Bombyx mori: one gene and its partners. The protein of the gene in region 4 interacts with the protein of the main gene of each other region in a pairwise test. Links are inferred from orthologs where the notes say so. Each region holds a gene or a part of one and is shown on either strand. Other genes may lie near its edges. The genes, in order: F-box/SPRY domain-containing protein 1, beta-TrCP, S-phase kinase-associated protein 2 and S-phase kinase-associated protein.

Region 1 (5,476 bases), on a different chromosome or scaffold from region 4:
GTCTCAGCGCCATACGAAAAAATCGAGAAGACTAGTACCAGTTTGGTTTTGGTCTTTACGGATATGTTGCAATCTTTCCAGATTTTTCTGAGCTGAGTCATGGTACTCTTAGCCATACCAATTCTCCGGCGCACCTTCCTTTCGCACGAGCCATTGTTACTGGTTGGAACCCAGGTAATTAAAGTTGTCCACTATTTCTAGGTCTAATGCGCCAGTGAGTTCCAATTTTCCAGACCTATTCACCACCATGACTTTGGTTATAAACCTGTTTATGGAAAGTCCCATCTCCTTGCTTAACAATAACAAAACAAAAGAACAAAAACTGACTGTCGTTAAATGTACGACAAATTAGTGATAAAATTCTTAATCAAGTGGTACTAATTAGTTCAAACTATACTGCATTTTGGTTAATAATAATAACAGATTCCATCGTTTATTTATTACTACAATATTTAAGGATAACATATACAAGAATAAAAAAGAAAAAACAAGATGATATCTCTATGATTTATATAATGAATACCTACATAACATAATATAATCTGTAAGAAATAAATAATATTGACAAATGTAAAATAGAAAATTGCACATTTTAAGTAGCATAAAACAAAAACAGAATAATTTCATATCAAATACTATTAAGAATACAAACCAAGATGTTTTCCAGAATGTCATTATATCACAATTATTTGACTAGATACCAGTTACAATTAAGTAGATTTTCTATCAGCCATCTAGCGGAGGACCTACATACACCATAGAAACTTCTGTATTTCCATACACTGCTGATATAGTTGGATAAAGTCTTTTATTGGGTAGACCTGAAAAGTGAAATTTTATAATATAATAAACAGCTGTTCATGTACATACATAATCTATGTACTAAAAATAGTTTTTGATCATATTTTAAAATAATAATTTGTAGTCAAATTGATTTTTATTTCCTTCTTGTTTTTTATTGCTTAAGATGGAAGGGACGAGCTCACAGCCCACCTGGTGTTAAGTGGTTACCGGAGCCCATAGACATCTACAACATAAATGCGCCACCCACCTTGAGATATTAGTTCTAAGATCTCAGTATAGTTACTGCCCCGTCCTTCAAACTGAAACACATTACTGCTTCACGGCAGAAATAGGCAGGACAGTGGTACCTACCCGCGCTGACTCACAAGAGGTCCTACCACCAGTAAGTACCTACCACTTTTTAAAATACAACAATCTGTTATGATTGTAATAATAATATATTGGTATCAAACTAAAATTAATGTCTAATGACATAACTATAACATGATTTTGATCACTCTCTCTTGACTTTATTATACATATGTATTATTAAATTTTTATTTCATTACCACGGAATGCAACACCTAAAAATTCATAATTCCTTTCAAATGAGAGGGTGTGACGATCACAATCAAGTATCACTCTTATTCTTTCACCAACCTGGAAGATATTTATTAGATTTAACCAAATCATAGAAACACAACAGTAGTCAGCTATATAATACATTACATAAATAAACCCCATTAAATCCAAAACATTCATTAATATCGTTTTACATACATCTATTCTTGGTTTACACATTAACAGTCAGAATGATACTACTTTTGTGGATATTTCTGCTGAGAAGCAGTGATGTCATAATCAGATAGATTTTTACACTGTAACTACTTAAAGCTACAGAGGTTATCTTCCATATCTATTCTAATAAAACAGAGATATGCCTTTTCACTTTAGTGTGTTCATAAATCATCATCATCATTCCTTCCTATTACCCTCTGCTGGGGTGTAGGGCTCGAATCAATTTTTTCCATTTACATCAGTCTTGGGCAGTCTGTTCTAGCTCCTCCCACGTCATGCCCAAGACCCCTAGCTCCTGCTCCTAAATATTATATTATATTGCTCCTGTTCATAAATAGTCAAAATAATTGTTTGCTGGACAAATTATATTCTATAAAATATTCTAATCTACAAGGTCACTAGTTTGAGGGTCAGGAACACAAAAGTGGCTGTTATTGCCTATTATAGTCATATCTACTTCTATTAGATATTGTTTAGTTCAAAACATAGAAAAAAAATTATGTGTAAAACTTCAATTATTTATAAAATAATAGATCATAATTTTTAGCAACATTTACTAGCAAGATAAAATCATTGGAACGATTTTTTAATAAACAGTGAGGTTATTTGCTATAATACAAAGGGAGGACAAAACCTTCAAATGAGACCCTAATAGACCCTATGCATTAACTGGTTTTTATTTCTGTTGAATTACATAGTGTATTTAATTTGAAAAATGTAATTAAATTTAAATTAATCAATAATTTGTATGCTTTAATGTTAAGGAGCTATTTTTTGTATGTTATAAATAGAATAAAAGCATTACTTGATATTTGGGGCAGTTATTTAACAATGGATAGTGTCCTTGAGTATCACCATTGTGTAATAAATGATTATCAACAAGATTCCAGCCCCAACTCAGTTCATCTGAACCAAGCAATCCTACATATCCTTGACATTGCAATGGTGCATCTCTAGTTGACACCCCTATGACAGCTACTGTGCCAAGGGGACCTTCCCATATAATTTCCCAAGCATGACGACCACGATAAAATCCAACCTTTCCTCTACAAGCATCTGTACTCTGTGCTACAGGATTTCTGAAATTAATGTATTGGACTTAGTTTCTTGAAATGACACCATTATCAAATTTTCATACATATACTCTAAAGAGCATTTAAAATTCATTACCTGTGTAAAGTAAATCCATTTGGTTTGATATAAATGTTTCTCGAACAATCATACGGATTCCAAGCATGGCAATATGCTCTAAGTTTTTCTCTATAAGTTCTGAGGCACGAAAGTAAATCAGATTTCATCATTTCTTCTGTTAATCTTCTATAACAATGATATCTCCACACTTCATTATTCTCATCACTGAGCATTCTATACCAAGTCTTACATACCAACGCACAGTTTCGAATATCTCTCAATCTTAGATACAAAAAAATAAGTTCCAAAATATGGTCAGGTATGATTTCAGCAAAAGCATATTTTTTGTATCTATGAATTTGACGCATCTTATTGTAGAAATAAGCATTTAATTTTAAATGCACAATTTTGGTAGTTATTTAATACCTTTTTAGAAAGATCTATGGTTACAGCGGGTTAGTGATTGAATTTTAATATTATTGCTTTTGATGAAATTTATTGGAAATTCTGAGTTTCAGGTTAAGTTGTTTTATTTTGTTTTGTCCACTTTGGACTTTTGTTACAAAAGGGACAGGTCTCAAACAGCCAGTCATCAAGTATGGAAAAATAATATTTAAAACGAGCTTCACAATTTCTAAACAACGCTATCGAATCAGCAGACAATATCTAAAGATTAACACTTTAATGATAACATAGTAAAACACGATTAGTTGAAAATTTGTTGTTTTTATTGTTAATATATGAATGTTCTCCTACGTACTTATCAGGCTCAGGACTGCCTGAAATGAATATTAATACTTACCAGAAAATAAGAAGATTTTATTTCATTTGGGAAGATGAATAATGGAGTAAAAACTACTTGAGCACTACTGTGACATGAAAATCGGTGTAACGAAAAAGCGACACTGAAAAAGGCAAAAAGATATGTCTAAAGGATTATTAGCCTGCGAGAGAATAACACGGAATAATTCTGAAAGTTTTACTTTTACTTCGTTTTACTGCACACATGCTCTTTAATATTAGTTAGTTATTCATATAGTTTGCGGTAGGCAGCGGCTTGGCTCTGCCCCTGGCATTGCTGAAGTCGAAGAAGTAACCACTCACCATCAGGTGGGCCGTATGCTCGTCTGCCTACAAGGGCAATAAAAAAAAAACATATTCATAGTTTCTGTAGTTAATTGTTTGTCACGTTATGATTTTTTAAATACATTAATTTCCCCACTGACCCATTAAACCCGAATTAAATGTTATATTCTGCCAATTTAGGATTTCTTCAGATTTTATAGTGGTAACTTAACACATCTTACACCAAGTCGTCATTGTCTGCCTTTAAAAAAATGTTATGAACCGCTTAGGTTTCCTACTTCAGTGGAACCGCTTAGTGGAGAAGATTTTTGAAACTTTTTTTTTAATTGATAGATGGGTCAAAGATCTCACGGCTCAATTGGTGTGGGTGGTGGTACTGACCCATGCGCACTCACAAGACGACCTACCACCAGTAACTACGCAAATTATATTTTTTCAAGTTTGATTTTTATTACGCGATGTTATTTTTTCACCATGGAAGTCAATCGTGTTTTTTTTTTAAATACATATTTCATTGGAAATTGTTTTGGAATGTCCCCACCTGTGTGTGGGATTGGATCACCAATGCATCGCTACACACGAATGCACCGGACATCTTATCCTTTAGGCCACGACGACGACATACAAATGTACACAAGTTTAGGAAAATATTTCAAGTCGTATGACCTACTTCAGGTTTTTCTAAATTCGTCATTGAAATTTGAATAAATTCCCCCCATTGCACTGTTTTCAAATCGGCATGGGCAGTTGGCGGCTCTTTGCGTGTGCGTACCAGGCTCACCATAAACCGGGAGGAGTGGCGATTGCTCACGAAACGCATAACATCTACCCACAGTAATGATGCTGAATGACGACCACGACCGCTCTGACAAGAGTGATACGACAAAAGACAAGGATATTGAAAGGTTACTTTTTCGTTAATTTCATATGATGTTATGATAACGTTACGTTAATTTCATATGATGATAAAAAATGGCGAGCTTAACTCAACAATTGAGTTTTCTACCAGCTAACCGTTCTTAACGAAGAAAAGCTTTAAATGAGTGAATTTATGTGATTATGCTCCATTTTACATTTTGTCTAACAGATACGGTTTCATTCATTTTATTTTAAATACTTATTCAATGGGCTAGGTGTCTTTTGCCACCCAGTGGAATATTGTATCAAAAAACAATCAACTATAAATTTTAGTAGACTAACACCGGTCACTCACATGCGCACGAATACGCAAACCCACAAGTGTAGGACGACATTTGCGAATGATTATGCAAAGTTTTCGCTGCATTCGTGGTTTTCCAAGCTGTATCGGTTTTTTAAGAGACATCAAAGCGCGCGAGCCTCGAACCTTCGCGTAGTCTCCCACACATTCGCTTGCCCAGTTGCGCCGACGATTGCGAAGGTAACGGACGTATACTATACGCCATTTTCATAGTTCGTGACGTCTACTGTGTAGCGTATCTTCATCAAAAGAAATCCCATAAAAACAGCATGGCTGTTAATGATGTCTGGGAAAGAATTAAAAACTCTTTCTCTTCAATGTTCTATTGACGAATTAAAAAGGAGGAGAAATTCGTGAGACATTCGTAAACAAGTGTAGGAGGAAGCGCAAACGGGTTCGCAAATTGATTATGCGAACCCATTTGCACAGCCGCTAGGTTTGCGAATGAATGTTTGACGG
Region 2 (4,845 bases), on a different chromosome or scaffold from region 4:
TAGGGAAGTAGTGCCAGTTAGTTGTTCAAGCCATTCAATGAGTAATTTAGATGAGTGTGCTCAGTGCGTGTTTTTTAACGTTCTCGATAGCGTAAAAGTAAAACAGCGCCCCTAGCGGCAAACGTAGGCAAACGTTGCAACTCCATACAAATTCGAGTTAACTTTTACGCTATCGAGAACGTTAAAAAACTAGAACTAAGCACACTGGACACTCATAGGGAAGTAGTGCCAGTTAGTTGTTCAAGCCATTCAATGAGTAATTTAGATGAGTGTGCTCAGTGCGTGTTTTTTAACGTTCTCGATAGCGTAAAAGTTAACTCAAATTTGTATGCAGTTGGAACAGCGCCTCTAACGGCAAACGTAGGCAAATGTTTCAACTCCATACAAATTAGAATTAGCTTTTACGCTTTTATAGTCTATACATCCCTAGATTAATCGAGAACATTCTAGGCAAGTCGAGTGGCTTCGATGCGTGTTTCCGCTATATGACAATAGATGGCGTTGTAAATTTCAAGCGTTCTCGATGTTACTAGTTCTTTTGATATTCATTTCTGCTATTCGGTGATAGATGACGTTACTCTTACCGGCGTAACAATAGTTTAACCTCTTCTTTTTAATTTCACCGGCTGTATACCGTATCCATTATGGCCAAGTCGTATCTTTGTAAATAGCAAATATACGACTGATCTTATACCTTTAAACGAGCAATTCTTGTATATATATAACCAGAATCTCGGAAACGGCTCCAATGATTTTCATAAAATTTAGTATACAGGGGATTTCGGGGGCGATAAATCGATTACGATTTATTTTCAGAAAATGTTGTTTTATTCGTGTTTTAAATAATCAACTTTATCGATAATTAACTTTATGAATCTTCCCGACATCTATTGGTGAATTTATTGCTTTAAAGACACAACAAGATGGCGTTATAAAAAAAAAAGCCGGTCATCATCTAGTATTGTTAATACACGCTCGTTTTCAGAAAAAGGCCTGGACCACGTCGCAGAGAACATACTGTCGTACCTGGACGCGAGCTCTCTATGTGCGGCCGAGTTGGTTTGCCGCGAGTGGTTGAGGGTGATATCGGAAGGGATGCTGTGGAAGAAGCTCATCGAGAGGAAGGTCCGTACGGATTCGCTGTGGCGCGGCCTCGCCGAGCGGAGGGGATGGTGAGTTGGCTCCTTGTGTTCATGTTGTCCTGGTACATTGACATTTTTTTTTATATAGCCGGATGGTGAGTTGGCTCCTTGTGTTCATGTTGTCCTGGTACATTGACATTTTTTTTATATAGCCGGATGGTGAGTTGGCTCCTTGTGTTCATGTTGTCCTGGTACATTGACATTTTTTTTATATAGCCGGATGGTGAGTTGGCTCCTTGTGTTCATGTTGTCCTGGTACATTGACATTTTTTTTTATATAGCCGGATGGTGATTTGGCTCCTTGTGTTCATGTTGTTCTGGTACATTGTCATTTTTTTTATATAGCCGGATGGTGAGTTAGCTCCTTGTTTCATGTTGTCCTGGTATATTGTCATCATTGTTTTTTATAGCCTTTATCCATGATGACCTTTACTGGAGCTCATAGACATCTACTACGTAAATGCGCCACCCACCTTGAGATATAAGTTCTAAGGTCTCAGTATAGTTACAACGGCTGCCCGACCCTTCAAACCGAAACGCGTTACTGCTTCACGGCAGAAACAGGCAAGGCGGTGGTACCTACCCGTGCGGACTCACAAGAGGTCCTATCACCAGTAATTACGCAAATTATAATTTTGCGGGTTTGATTTTTATTACACGATGCTATTCCTTCACCGTGGAAGTCAATCGTGAACATTTGTGAAGTACGTATTTCATTAGAAAAATTGGTACCCGCCTGCGGGATTCGAACACCGGTGCATCGCTTCAACACGAATGCACCGGACGTCTTATCCTTTAGGCCACGACTTACACTTTTTGGTTTCTTCCATCCGATTGATATTATGTGAGAGTCCTCGGGAATGAGTCGTGTGAGCAACTCATGACGTATCTGCTTCCCCTCCCCAGGATACAGTACCTGTTCAAACCGAAGCCTGGCTGCCAACATCCGTCACACTCATTCTACAGACAACTATATCCCAAGATAATAAAGGACATACAATCTATAGAGGACAATTGGAGAATGGGAAAACATAATTTACAGGTAAAAATTATTTTGCTTTATTTATTTATTTCTTACACTTCATGTAAAATTTACATTGGCGGACTTAATGCCTAAGGCATTCTCTACCAGTCAACCAAAGGTAGTGCAGAGTAAATAGTGGTAGGTGCAATGAAATCTATATATTAATACGTGAAGCAGAAACTTTGTATCCTTTTTACGAAAATTGCGCGGACGGAGGAATATGAAATTTTCCACACTTATAGAGAATATAGAGAAGCAGTGCACAATTCTCATATTTTTTAAGATAATGCATAAAAGATACATTAAATCAACAAAGAAAACATTACACACATTCCGAATCACCATTTCATTTATTCACATTTTTTTCATTTCTGTTACAGAGGATAAACTGCAGATCGGAGAATTCCAAAGGCGTATATTGCTTACAGTACGACGACAATAAGATAGTATCGGGCCTTAGAGATAACACAATAAAAATATGGGACAGAAAGACACTGCAGTGCGTCAGAGTGAGTATGGAAATAAATAACAAACCAATTGAGGACCTCAACTGGATTTATACTCAGTGGAGGACGTGGTTACTGAAGTCTATATACGTTTTTTTTAAGGGATTTTATGACCTGGTAACTAAGACCTTTAGGTCAAGTCTTATTTTAATTTTAATGATAACTTTTTTATATGAAAAATGATAATATGGATTGAAATGAAATGAAGAAGATTAATTTGTGATCAACTGGGATGAAATTCAATAAAATGATATGGGATGATTTATAGTCTTAGTAAAATGGTGGTCATTTACTGAAATTTTTTTAGTGGACTTTTTGGGAGGATCCCGAGAAGTTGCGTCCAGCAACTTTGTTTTATTTTCCCACATTTGTGCACTTTCACAGATATACTAAACAGTTAATAAACCACCATTATTACACATTTAAACCTGAAGAAACACTAAATAAACAAAATAAAACAAATCACACAACTTCATTCCTCGCGTTCCCGCCAAAAAGTCGTCTATATACAACATAAACGTTGTCAGCTCAACTCGACGCATCAAGATTTCTAAGCCTCAGTTTTTATAGTACAACACCAGCTCGATACTCATCAAACCGAAACGCATTACTGCTTCACGGCAGAAATAGTCAAGGTGGTGGCACCTACCCGTGCGGACTCACAAAAGGTCCTATCACCAGTAATTATGCGAATTATAATTTTTCATTATACGATGTTATTCCTTCATCGTGGAAGTCAATCGTGAACATTTGTCAAGTACGTATTTCATTAGAAAAATTGGTACCCGCCTGCGGGATTCGAACACCGGTGCATCGCTACATACGAATGCACCGGACGTCTTATCCTTTAGGACACTACTGGTGGTAGGGCTAGCTGTGAGTCCGTATTTCTGCCGTGAAGCAGTAATGTGTTTCGCTTTGATAAGTGAGGTAGCCGTTGTACTGTATAAACGGAGACTTTAGAACTCATATCTTTAGGTGGGTGGCGGCTTTTAAGTTGTAGATGTCTATAGGCTCCGGTAACCACTTACTTACCGGCTGTGAGCTCGTCTACTCATCTATCCCTTTCATCTCTAAAAATAATTTCTTACTACATCTTATGTCTTCGATCCTTCCAGGAGCTGCAAGGTCACACGGGGTCGGTTCTGTGCCTGCAGTACGACGAGCGCGCCATCATATCCGGCTCGTCGGACTCCACCGTGCGCGTGTGGGACGTGTCCACGGGCGCCATGCTCAACACGCTCATCCACCACTGCGAGGCGGTGCTGCACCTGCGCTTCTGCAACGGGATGATGGTCACTTGCAGCAAGGTGAGCCTGACGCTTGGTCCCCTTAGTGCCGAAGCCTAACGGGGTCTGACTTGAAGCCATTTTAAGCTATTGCATAGCTTTTATCGCGGGCCTTGAGCGCGGCGACCGAATCATGAAATTCCGTAACGAAAAAAACCTAACACCCCCCAGTCCGCCTACCATGTAGCTCGCGTTCAACACATTCACACGTGGCGCTTGTGTCGTGTTTGTGAATAAGCGCGCGGCGTGACATCGCACTGCATGCGCATCATGAAAAGTCTGCCCATCTCTCCCTCGCGCGGTCTTGCTTATGAGTGTGAAGGGGACAGTTAAGGTTTTGCTTTTGTTAATGTTTATAAATATAGCGTAGTCTTGTTTTATTATTGTTTTAATATTAAATTATCATTGTCTAATTATAATTGCATAAGTTGATAAAAAATGCTACGCAATAGATTTACCGCGGCAGTCCCCGAGTGCCACACTGTTTTTTTTTTTTTAATTAATAAATTGTTATTATAAAGGGTGTGTTTTTGCGGCTTTCAGGATCGTTCGATAGCCGTGTGGGATATGACGTCGACGACGGAGATAATGCTGAGGCGAGTGCTGGTGGGACACAGGGCCGCTGTCAATGTCGTTGACTTTGACGAGAAATATATTGTCAGTGCGTCCGGTGATAGAACTATAAAAGTACGTATTGTTACAACATCACTCACACGTCATTGCGGATCCTCCCGATCCATTAACGGTAACTTTTAGGTACCAAAAGCATCTCAAGGGTTTGGAGAGTAAATTAACCATCAGACACAGCCCACTGAGTTTCTCGCCGAATTTTCTCAGTGGGTCGCATTTCCGTCCATGGGCGCTGTCTACTAGTTAACAAATGA
Region 3 (5,462 bases), on a different chromosome or scaffold from region 4:
CTCACCGCTCAAGTCTTCGATTGTGTTCAGTTTTCTCGACGCCATCGCGCGGAAATAAGTCGTGGTACTAGAAAATTACTTATAAACGTATTTTTAATAATATACGCTGTGTTCAACCGGGCTTCTTCGCTTTTAAAATGCGAAAACAAAGAAAGAACGGACTGAATCAACACCGAATGCAACCTTCTTTGTTTGTGTTTTGTGTTGTTTTGATTGGAACTGACAGTTGTGGATAGTGTGGCATAATCAGTTCAGATACGATATGCGATATGATTAAATTTGTTAATCGATTAAAGTTCGATTTCAGACGCCTTAACAGATTTTATTTCAAAATTGTGCAATTTAAAAAAATGTTGTTTTTCGAATGATTTCATTTTCATTTGTATATAATATGTTGAACCTAATAAATTTAATGTCTTCGATTTTTTCAGTATTATCGATTATTATTTTTCCTATCTATTCCAGTAACCTGGAGGGGTCATACCATATTCATCTGGCGAGTTAGGTGAGCTCGCGGTGCTTTAACCTGGCGAATTTGCTAACACTAGCCCTAGCAAGAGCAGTGCTTCACAAAATCTACCACTGGATCGGAAACGCGATCCACTGAGAACTGAGAGAATAATTGGCGGTAGGACCTCTTGTGAGTCCGTGTGAGTAGGTACCGCCACCCTGCCTATTTCTGCCTTAAAGCAGTACTGCGTTTTGGTTTAAAGGGTGGGGCAGCTGCTGTAACTGTAACATACTTGAGACTTTAGAACTTATATCTCAAGGTGGGTGGCGCATTTACGTTGTAGATGTCTATGGGCTCCAGTAACCACTTAACACCAGGTGGGCTGTGAGCTCGTCCCCCCATCTAAGCTATCTCAAGGTGGGTGGCGCATTTACGTTGTAGATGTCTATGGGCTCCAGTAACCACTTAACACCAGGTGGGCTGTGAGCTCGTCCCCCATCTAAGCAATAAAAAAAAAAGTTGGCGTGAAACTCAGTGCGCTGGAATTTTGATCTTAAAGTTGTAAAAACAGGAGGTAAATCATGATAAGATAAATTTTTTTTTCATTTATCCTTACACTTCTATATTTACAAAATGAAATAAATAACTTTTAATCCAGAAGTGAAACCTACCCAGAAATAGTTTCCAAGTTAATCTTATTGTTTTATTGTTTTGTTTTACTATCTACCGTGTTTAGTCTAATAAAAACGGGGACAATGTAATAAATAAAAATACCGAAGAATTCCTTATTTAATGTGCTCTGAACTTTAAGCGCTTACAGCTGTCGATCAAGGCTGGTTTGAATGGTTACTTCGAGATAGAACAGCAGAGAGCGAGAGCGCGTATCCGTTTCTCGTAATGAATTAAGTCATAGTGTAACTATGTGTCATTGGTGACCTTAATCTTTAAGGATAATTAGATTTTGTCATCAACAAAGTATAAATATGTTAAGTCAATCGAGAAATTTTATGCCTTGATTCAAGAAAAAAAATCGCGTGGTAGCTGCGATGGTGTGAAAAAATATCAAATAATAGTAATAATTAAAGACAAGTTAAATATATAAATAAATAGAGAGAAATTGTATAATATAAATAATTCATAATAATAATAAATAATTTAAAAAAATCTGTTTTTCGGCAAGCTTAATAATCAATCTGAGTGGCAATCATGAGCAAAGAAGTCCTCGATTTAGTAATAGCAAGTGTGACATTAATGCCCAATGTCAATGTCAGTTTGTACGTTTAAAAAATTTGTCATATTTGTCTATAGCTGAATTCCTTTTTTTTTAGTTTAATTTTGACTTCAAAGTGCTATCTGTTGCGTGTGCCAAATTTTTTATCTAGCTATATTTGGAAATTTATAATACAAAATTAAGTGAAAATGAACATTAGTGGTCTGGAAGATGAAGTTAATTCACCCGTTAAACCAGACGATGCAGAAAGTCCTAGGTGAGACTTGAATTTTTAGCAAAAATCGTCATGGAATTCAATCTGACATGACAGCTGATTTTCAGCGGTAAAGTTGAATGGCGCGAAATAATCACGCCCTAATTATTATTTTTACACTACTATATTTACGGTTATTCAAAGAGTTGGAATATTATTTCAGCAAGAAAAAACTTAGAATAAGTAATTCGACGCGGAAAAGTTGGAGTTTGATGGACAAACGAACGAATTACGAGGTATGTAGTAATTTTTTCCCGCCCTCTTCCGTTCTAGTTAAAAACTTTTTATTTGATATCAATCGTGTTTTAACTATCATTCGAGTTTCTCACAGCTCCTAAATCCAATATTAATATACATATCGAGTTTGGGACGCGTAATTTTATAGTTTTGCCACAAAACACGCAAATGAACTGAGATCGAAATATGTATACATGCTCCCATTTTCATGTATAGATTTTATGGGTTCTCCGGCGTGTAGTGAGCAATGGTTGATACTGCCACCCTGCGAGGTCCCATATAAGCAGTCGGGTGACCATTATTCACAAACAAATAAGACTGTATGAATATATGCTCATACAGCAACATTACAAACAGATTCTGGACCATTTCTCAGTTATGCAAATTTTGTTTAAGTCATCACTATTATAAGTAATGCTTTCAAATAATATTATGTATTTTTATATGTTATGCACATATTTACTAGTGATAGGAGGACATATTGTGAGCCTGTACTGGTAGGTAACATGCCCCTGCCTATTTCTGATGTGAAGCAGCAATGCACTTGGTTTTTAAGGGTGGGGCAGCCATAGAACTGAAACTTAGAGCTTACTCTCATGGTAGGTGGTGGCATTGACATTGTTGATTTATAGACATCAATAACCCATAGGGTTCTGGGAAGCACTTAACACAAGGTAGGCCCTGATTTGATTCACCTATCAAAGCAAGAAAAGCTTTAAAAAAGACAAGGAACGGGACAAGCTATGTTTCTAGTAATTTTTTCTCAATTACTAAATTTCTATTTGTATTTAGAGGTACTAGATTAATACATGAGTGGTCCAAACACACATTCAAGCATAGACATTGAAAAATATAAGGTTAAATGTAGTTTAAAGAAACATTTGAGAATTGTCTTTTATAATCCTGTACCATATTAAATCATAAAAAGCCTATAGGCTTTCATTGAAGAAGATCTGATTTACGGGCATCCTATGTTATTCTACACAACAAAAGGAATATGTTTGATTAAAATTCGATCAACATAGATTAAGATATCAATTTTGATTTGCATCAGACTAGCTGAGCATAGATCATCAAAGTGCTCTATGGGATACTAGGTTTCTTCAAAGGGTTTTGGAGATATGATATAACTTTGTTTTTCTGTACTGAAATACAAAGGTTTGATTAATCTTAGAAATACATATTTTTCAATTCTTATAATGTTTGCATAGTAATAATTACATATTAGAACTAATTGTTTAATACTAATGTTTAATCCATAGATAGAATAATGTCTCATGTTAAAGGGAACTGTATGATTTTGGGAATAAATAAAGTTTAAACTTTATTTTTAGGTATTACAAGAAATGGGGGTTAGTTTGCTTGAGCCTGATGATAATGAACAATCCTGTGAACTGAGTTCGAGCAGTGGAGGGGTGAGTTTTATGTTTTTGTATCGCTGTCTGTGTTTGGCGACACAACCCTTGTGGTAAGTGCTTTGTTTGCTAATGGAAGTCCTGCACAGCCAAGTTACAATGAGGAGCAGGTCTAATTTTAAAACTCCCGGTAACAGTAGGCTCGTTTAACCATTACCATTTTACTGGTGGTAGGACCTCTTGTGAGTCCGCGCGGGTGGGTACCACCGCCCTGCCTATTTCTGCCGTGAAGCAGTAATGCGTTTCGGTTTGAAGGGTGGGGCAGCTGTTGTAACTATACTTGAGACCTTAGAACTTGTATCTCAAGGTGGGTGGCACATTTACGTTGTAGATGTCTATGGGCTCCAGTAACCACTTAACACCAGGTGGGCTGTGAGCTCGTCCACCCATCTAAGCAATAAAAAAAGATAAAAAATTGAGATAATGGAAATTCAACAGTTTATTTTGATTCCAGCACCACCACAAAGGCACAAAACGAAAACGGGACATAGAAAACGTGAATCCAAATACGAATTCATGTTCTCCGATCACAAAACGAAGCCCGGGACCTTCCAAGGCGAAGAGCCCTCGCGTTCACACCGGTAAGTCTTCCATAAAGTCTCGCTGCTCATCAAAATAACACTTTGATAAGTTTAATATCGGTTTGTGCAGAAACTATGTCCTCAAATATTTGCCAGGGGTGGTTGCTGGTTTGTTAAATATGAATGCTTCAAAACAACAATCATTCATGCTTACTTTGGTAAATTAATATTATTTTAGGCTATTTGGGTTTCATCCATAAGTTAATTGTCTATCTTTGTGTTTTTATTTTTATTTTTTTTTATTGCTTAAATGGGTGGACTAGCTCACAGCCCACCTGGTATTAAGTGGTTAATGGAGCCCATAGACATCTACGACGTAAATGCGCCACCCACCTTGAGATATCAATTCTATGGTCTCAGTATAGTTACAACGGCTGTCCCGCCCTTCAAACCGGAACGCATTACTGCTTCACGGCAGAAATAGGCAGGGTGGTGATACCTATCCGCGTGGACTCACAAGAGGCCCTATCACTAGTAATTACGCAAATTGTAATTTTGCTGGTTTGATTTTTATTACACGATGTTATTCCTTCACCGTGGAAGTCAATCGTGAACATTTGTCCAGTACGTATTTCATTACAACAATTGGTACCCTCCTGCGGGATTCGAACACCGATGCATCGTTCAACACGAATGCACCGGACGTCTTATCCGTTAGGCCACGACGACTTCAACGACGACTATGGTCCAGGGTACTGTTAGTAGTGAGAAGGCCGAACTTTTTAAAAAAAAAGGATTTATTCGAAACTACACAATATTTTTAATGAATAATTAATTATAATAAAAGAATTTAGAAATAGTGAGGAAAATTGGTAAACGTCTCACTTCAATGAATATCTGACCCGAACTGAGCCTGGTATGTTCTCATGAAATCACTGTGAGAGAGCTTATGATGAGTAAGGTGTTTGGTAAGCATTAGTCTATACAGGCTAGGGATATAACAGTACGAATACTTTCCATCCTGCTTAAAGAGGATCTAGTCTAAGTACTAGTATTGATAACTGTATCTCTATCAGTCTATCTATTTGCATGCCTGATATTAATAATAGGATAGAAATTGAGAACAAATCATGCACTATCATCCAGCCCCAATTTAGGATTCCCTGTATTACAGGACTGACATACTTTTAAATATACATATATAGATAATAAACACCCTGACAAACACCAAACAAAATTGTTTATTACAAGTATGTTTGCCCAATGTGGTAATCAAACACATGATTCTCCACGAAAACAGTCAGGCGTTCTAACTTACTGCACCACCAAGTCAACCATGTAATAACACTATTCT
Region 4 (4,399 bases):
ATATTTTTGATATTTGTATTTGTAATAGAGAGCTCAAGGTAAATGTAACACAATGAGAACATTATGTAAAAAAAAAAAACCAGTGGAATGAGCTATATTCCTTGGCACTAGACCAGGAAAATGCTAACAAAAAGAAGAAGGAATGTGTCTTTTTTTTTTTTTTCGGGTAGAGGGCCGAACCTCCTACGAGGTCCCCGCGCAAAAGGGGCGCGCGGGGTATGTGAGACTACGATCTGCATGGTGTTGTGAACAGACCGCGGGCCCAAGGATTTTAGGGCCCACCCACTAAACGACTCCCCTGCACTCTTACACCCGACGTCCGATCCCCTCCGAGGTCAGAACCCGGATGAGGTAGGGGCGTTACCGCGGTCAACACTACAACCAGACGGCGCGGCTAACCCCAAGGACGCCCAGCCGACGGAGCCTTCGAGGCGAATCGAAGGCTCTGAAACGTCGGCCGTCTCGGTACGGCAGCCCGTCGGGCCGCCCAGACGGTGCCGCTGGTGTCCCGGAATACCCCGCTGGACCAAAACCAGCCTGCCGGGTCGGGACGCGATACACCGTCGACCGGTCGCTCTATTTACTGCTATATTGTTCCTGCTGTACATCAAGGGAGGTAGAGAGAAGATAGCAACCTCATACATTGGATAGCATTGGAGTAACACGCACATTTAGTTACGAATTAAGGAAAATATTGCAGATGTCAAACCCAACATAAGTCTGATTTATTTTAACATACTCTGGACAGTGCTAATAGTGAAATTTAACATGGCTCAATACACCCTAAACAATCCTTAATTCCATAAATAGCTCATGAAGCTATTGTAAATAAAAGGAAAAAAGGTTGGATCAGAAAAAAAGTAATCATCTGACTATTACATGAAACCCCAAGTCAAACAAACTATGAGACCTAAACATTATGTTCTATGAAAAGGAGAGAATAAATAATTGATAATTATTATTAATTATTTTTTTTCATTTGTAATGATATTTTATTATTAAAATAATAATGATTGTAAACAATAAATAATTGCCAATAAGATTTTTTTCATTACAAATTTTATAGTTTACTTGCACCTCTTATCCATGACCACAAAAACTGTTAGATTTTGAAACTGAAATTATAAATTGATAATAATATACTCAAGATAAACTGTAAAAGTAGTTTTTTAATTATAAAAATTACAATCCAACAAAAAATAATCACCTTTAAAATTTTGTTTTACATAGCATACAATGTAGCACAATATAAATTAAATTGCTGGAACTCACTTCCAGTTTCTTTTGAAAGAGGCAGACGGACATTTCTGACTATGGGTTCATATACTAAGCTTTAAAAGTAATTTTAATGACAAATATCTAAGAGGAAAAAATTGTTTCATATATATTATTTTCATTTGTTATGCTGATGGTTTAATTCTATCTTAGCATCAGGAACTGACTAAGGGAATGTGGTTATCAAATACATACATATACAGTGAAAATCTATTATAACAACATCGAAGGGACTGCTCATATTCAGTCGTAACAACCAGTGATGTTTAATGTGTATCGTGCAAGTACAAACAAAGTACAAACAAATCGATAGTGAATTATTGGAAAAATATATTTACACAAAACGCAATTTTTCTTTGTTATTAATTTGTTTTTTTTCTTTGCAACATTTTGAAAGTTTCACGAATAACTCCACAAAGTTTTGGTGTGTCTTGTGTATAGATAAGTAACAAACTAACTGAAAAGATATGAAGAAGTGGGCTTTGACTCTACCGCATACACATTTTTGTTTCTAAGAATTAGAAAAGACCCTACACTAAACAAAATCCTATTGTTTTCTTTCCTGATTTTAATAGCCATTGAAGACAAATGTGGATACCTATTCAAATTGTTTACAATACAGCTTAGCCGGTCGTTCTAACAGATCTAATTCTCCGAAATATTAGTTAAATGTGGTCATTTTATTAGGTATGTCGGTATTAGCAATGTCGTATAAAGCAATGTTTTTAATAAGGCGGTCATATAGCATTCAGCCGGGACCTTTGTTCTAGGTTATTATAACCAGCATGTTGCTCAAAATGATGTCGCAGTAAACGGTTGTGACTGTATATTTATTTACTTTTTGTATTGACATTGATGGTGACAAACTTATTTTTGTGGTTTAACATTGCAATGGATACTGGCAATTTCTGGACACAATCAAGACTACCCACACAATTAGTTAAAAAATAAGCAGATGACAAAAATTTAAGTCAGTGATTTATGCTAATTATTTCTATTTCATAAAGTAAATTTTCCAATAAATATAATACAATTAAAGTTAAATGAAAAGTAATTTAAATGATAATATGAAAATTTAAATTTTATTGAAAATCACAATGACATGATGTACCTATTTTTATATAATTTACAACACAAACAAATTTACTTGGTTTAAATTAATTATTCTTTATTGCCATGGGAAAAATAGTTTAATGTTGCATACATAGTGATAATACATAAAGATGCTTGCAAATAGCATTTATTATGGTTTACTTTTCTTCACACCATTCATTCTCTTTACGAACCTGATCTTCTTCTGCAGCAGTGAAATCATTCTTAATGTTGAACGTTTTACGGATTTCTTCAGGAGTCTTTCCTTTGATCATGTTTGCTACAGTTTTACATGTGACATCTAATAAACCCTTGATGTCCAAATAATTTGCAGCTAATATTAATTCAAAGAGTGTGCCTTGGTCAACTTTCAAAAAATCAGCATCCCATGATGATATGTCATCAGTCCTCTTTTCCTTGTTTTCGTCATCTTCTGGTAGCGGAGGATCGTCTTTATGATAAGTAGCCCACTGAATAACTTTTTTGAGTATTGCAGAATTGACATTAGGTAAAGGTACAACTTCCTCTTCATCCTCTTCCATGCCTAAGTCTTCTAGCATAGTTTTGATAGTTACGGAGCATTTGGCGATTTCAACATCAACAACGAAGACCTCGTTGTCTGATGATTGCAACTTAATATTTGGCATCTAGAACAAAAGAGCGGTGGGAACGTAAATCATAAAACGACGGCTGAGAATAAGACGCCATTTTCCAATTTATAAATAGCGAAGTATTTACCTTGTTTTTTCAAGTATTTGAATGTTCACAATTAAGTGAAATTTATTTATCTTCAAACGAAAATGCCCTTATGTTCTGGAGATTTTTCCTTAAACCCAAACAGTGAATCAATGAGTGAACGAATGAATAAAATCATTAATCAATTTTGTTTTTTTTTCTGCTTTCGTTTAAATTTTTCTAAGGGATTTTATGACCTGGTAACTAAGACCTTTAGGTCATGTCTTTTTTTAATTTATATTCAGATTTTTATAAATTTTTTATTATGGAGTGAAATGAAATGAAGATGATTAATTTGAGACATTAATCAACTGGGATGAAATTAAATGAAATGAGTTGATATGGTATGAAATATAATCTCAGTAAAATGGTGGTTATTTACTAAGATTTTTTCAGTGGACTTTTTGGAGGAACTCGAGAAGTTACGTCCAGCAGCTTTGTTTCATTTTCCCACTTTTGTGCACTTTCACAGATATTAAACATTTAATAAACCACCGTTATTACACATTTAAACCTGAAGAAACACTAAATAGACAAAATAAAACAAATCACACAACTTCACTCCTCGCGCTCCCGCCAAAAGTACCTCCAACACCAATTGTTTTTTAAGGGATTTTATGACCTCATAACTAAGACCTTTAAGTCATGTCTTATTTTAATTTATATTCTTATTTTTATGAAAAATGATAATATGGAGATAAATGAAATGAAATGAAGATGATTAATTTGAGAAATTAATCAACTTAGATGAAATTAAATGAAATTTGATGATATGGGATGAAATATGATCTCAGTAAAATGGTGGTCATTTACTGAGATTTTTTCAGTAGACTTTTTAGAGGAACCCGAGAACTTACGTCCAGCAGCTTTGTTTCATTTTCCCACTTTTGTGCACTTTCACAGATATTAAACAGTTAATAAGCCACCGTTATTACATATTTAAACCTGAAGAAACACTAAATAGACAAAATAAAACAAATCACACCACTTCACTCCTCGCGTTCCCGCCAAAAAGTCCCTCCAACACCAACATTCATTTCCCACCATAGATACACACTTAGTTTCCCACACAACTAAAAAAAAAAAGAAACTTGTGAATGGAGTAAAGAAGAAATCTAATATATAAAATTCTCGTGTCACAGTTTTCGTTGCCATACTCCTCCGAAACGGCTTGACCGATTTTGATGAAATTTTTTGTGCTTATCCGGTATCTATGAGAATCGGCCAACATATATTTTTCATCCCCCTAAATGTTAGGGGTAGTCCACCCCTAAATTTTTATTTTTATTTTTTAGAC

What was found.
Region 1: the proteins of S-phase kinase-associated protein (region 4) and F-box/SPRY domain-containing protein 1 interact in a two-hybrid assay, tested with the Drosophila melanogaster proteins (2 studies listed by BioGRID). The link is inferred for Bombyx mori from reciprocal best matches to the Drosophila melanogaster genes SkpA and Fsn.
Region 2: the proteins of S-phase kinase-associated protein (region 4) and beta-TrCP interact in a two-hybrid assay, tested with the Drosophila melanogaster proteins (3 studies listed by BioGRID). The link is inferred for Bombyx mori from reciprocal best matches to the Drosophila melanogaster genes SkpA and slmb.
Region 3: the proteins of S-phase kinase-associated protein (region 4) and S-phase kinase-associated protein 2 interact in a two-hybrid assay, tested with the Drosophila melanogaster proteins (2 studies listed by BioGRID). The link is inferred for Bombyx mori from reciprocal best matches to the Drosophila melanogaster genes SkpA and Skp2.

Annotation. Positions count from the first base shown.
Region 1 is NC_085110.1:9,214,407-9,219,882, forward strand, and holds F-box/SPRY domain-containing protein 1, read right to left. Parts: upstream 4,064-5,476; 5' UTR 3,081-4,063; coding exon 2,752-3,080; intron 2,661-2,751; coding exon 2,387-2,660; intron 1,444-2,386; coding exon 1,353-1,443; intron 822-1,352; coding exon 727-821; 3' UTR 494-726; downstream 1-493. UniProt on the Drosophila melanogaster protein: Required in the presynaptic motoneuron to down-regulate the levels of wnd and restrain synaptic terminal growth at the neuromuscular junction (NMJ). Negatively regulates the localization of vas to the posterior pole of the oocyte.
Region 2 is NC_085130.1:17,505,839-17,510,683, reverse strand, and holds part of beta-TrCP, read left to right. Parts: intron 1-985; coding exon 986-1,172; intron 1,173-2,048; coding exon 2,049-2,184; intron 2,185-2,546; coding exon 2,547-2,675; intron 2,676-3,790; coding exon 3,791-3,982; intron 3,983-4,504; coding exon 4,505-4,648; intron 4,649-4,845.
Region 3 is NC_085117.1:567,689-573,150, reverse strand, and holds the start of S-phase kinase-associated protein 2, read left to right. Parts: upstream 1-1,759; 5' UTR 1,760-1,870; coding exon 1,871-1,938; intron 1,939-2,098; coding exon 2,099-2,171; intron 2,172-3,506; coding exon 3,507-3,587; intron 3,588-4,041; coding exon 4,042-4,168; intron 4,169-5,462. Other genes in the region: BCL2/adenovirus E1B 19 kDa protein-interacting protein 3, read right to left, coding at 6-45.
Region 4 is NC_085119.1:7,149,966-7,154,364, reverse strand, and holds S-phase kinase-associated protein, read right to left. Parts: upstream 3,253-4,399; 5' UTR 3,106-3,252; intron 3,015-3,105; coding exon 2,526-3,014; 3' UTR 1,846-2,525; downstream 1-1,845.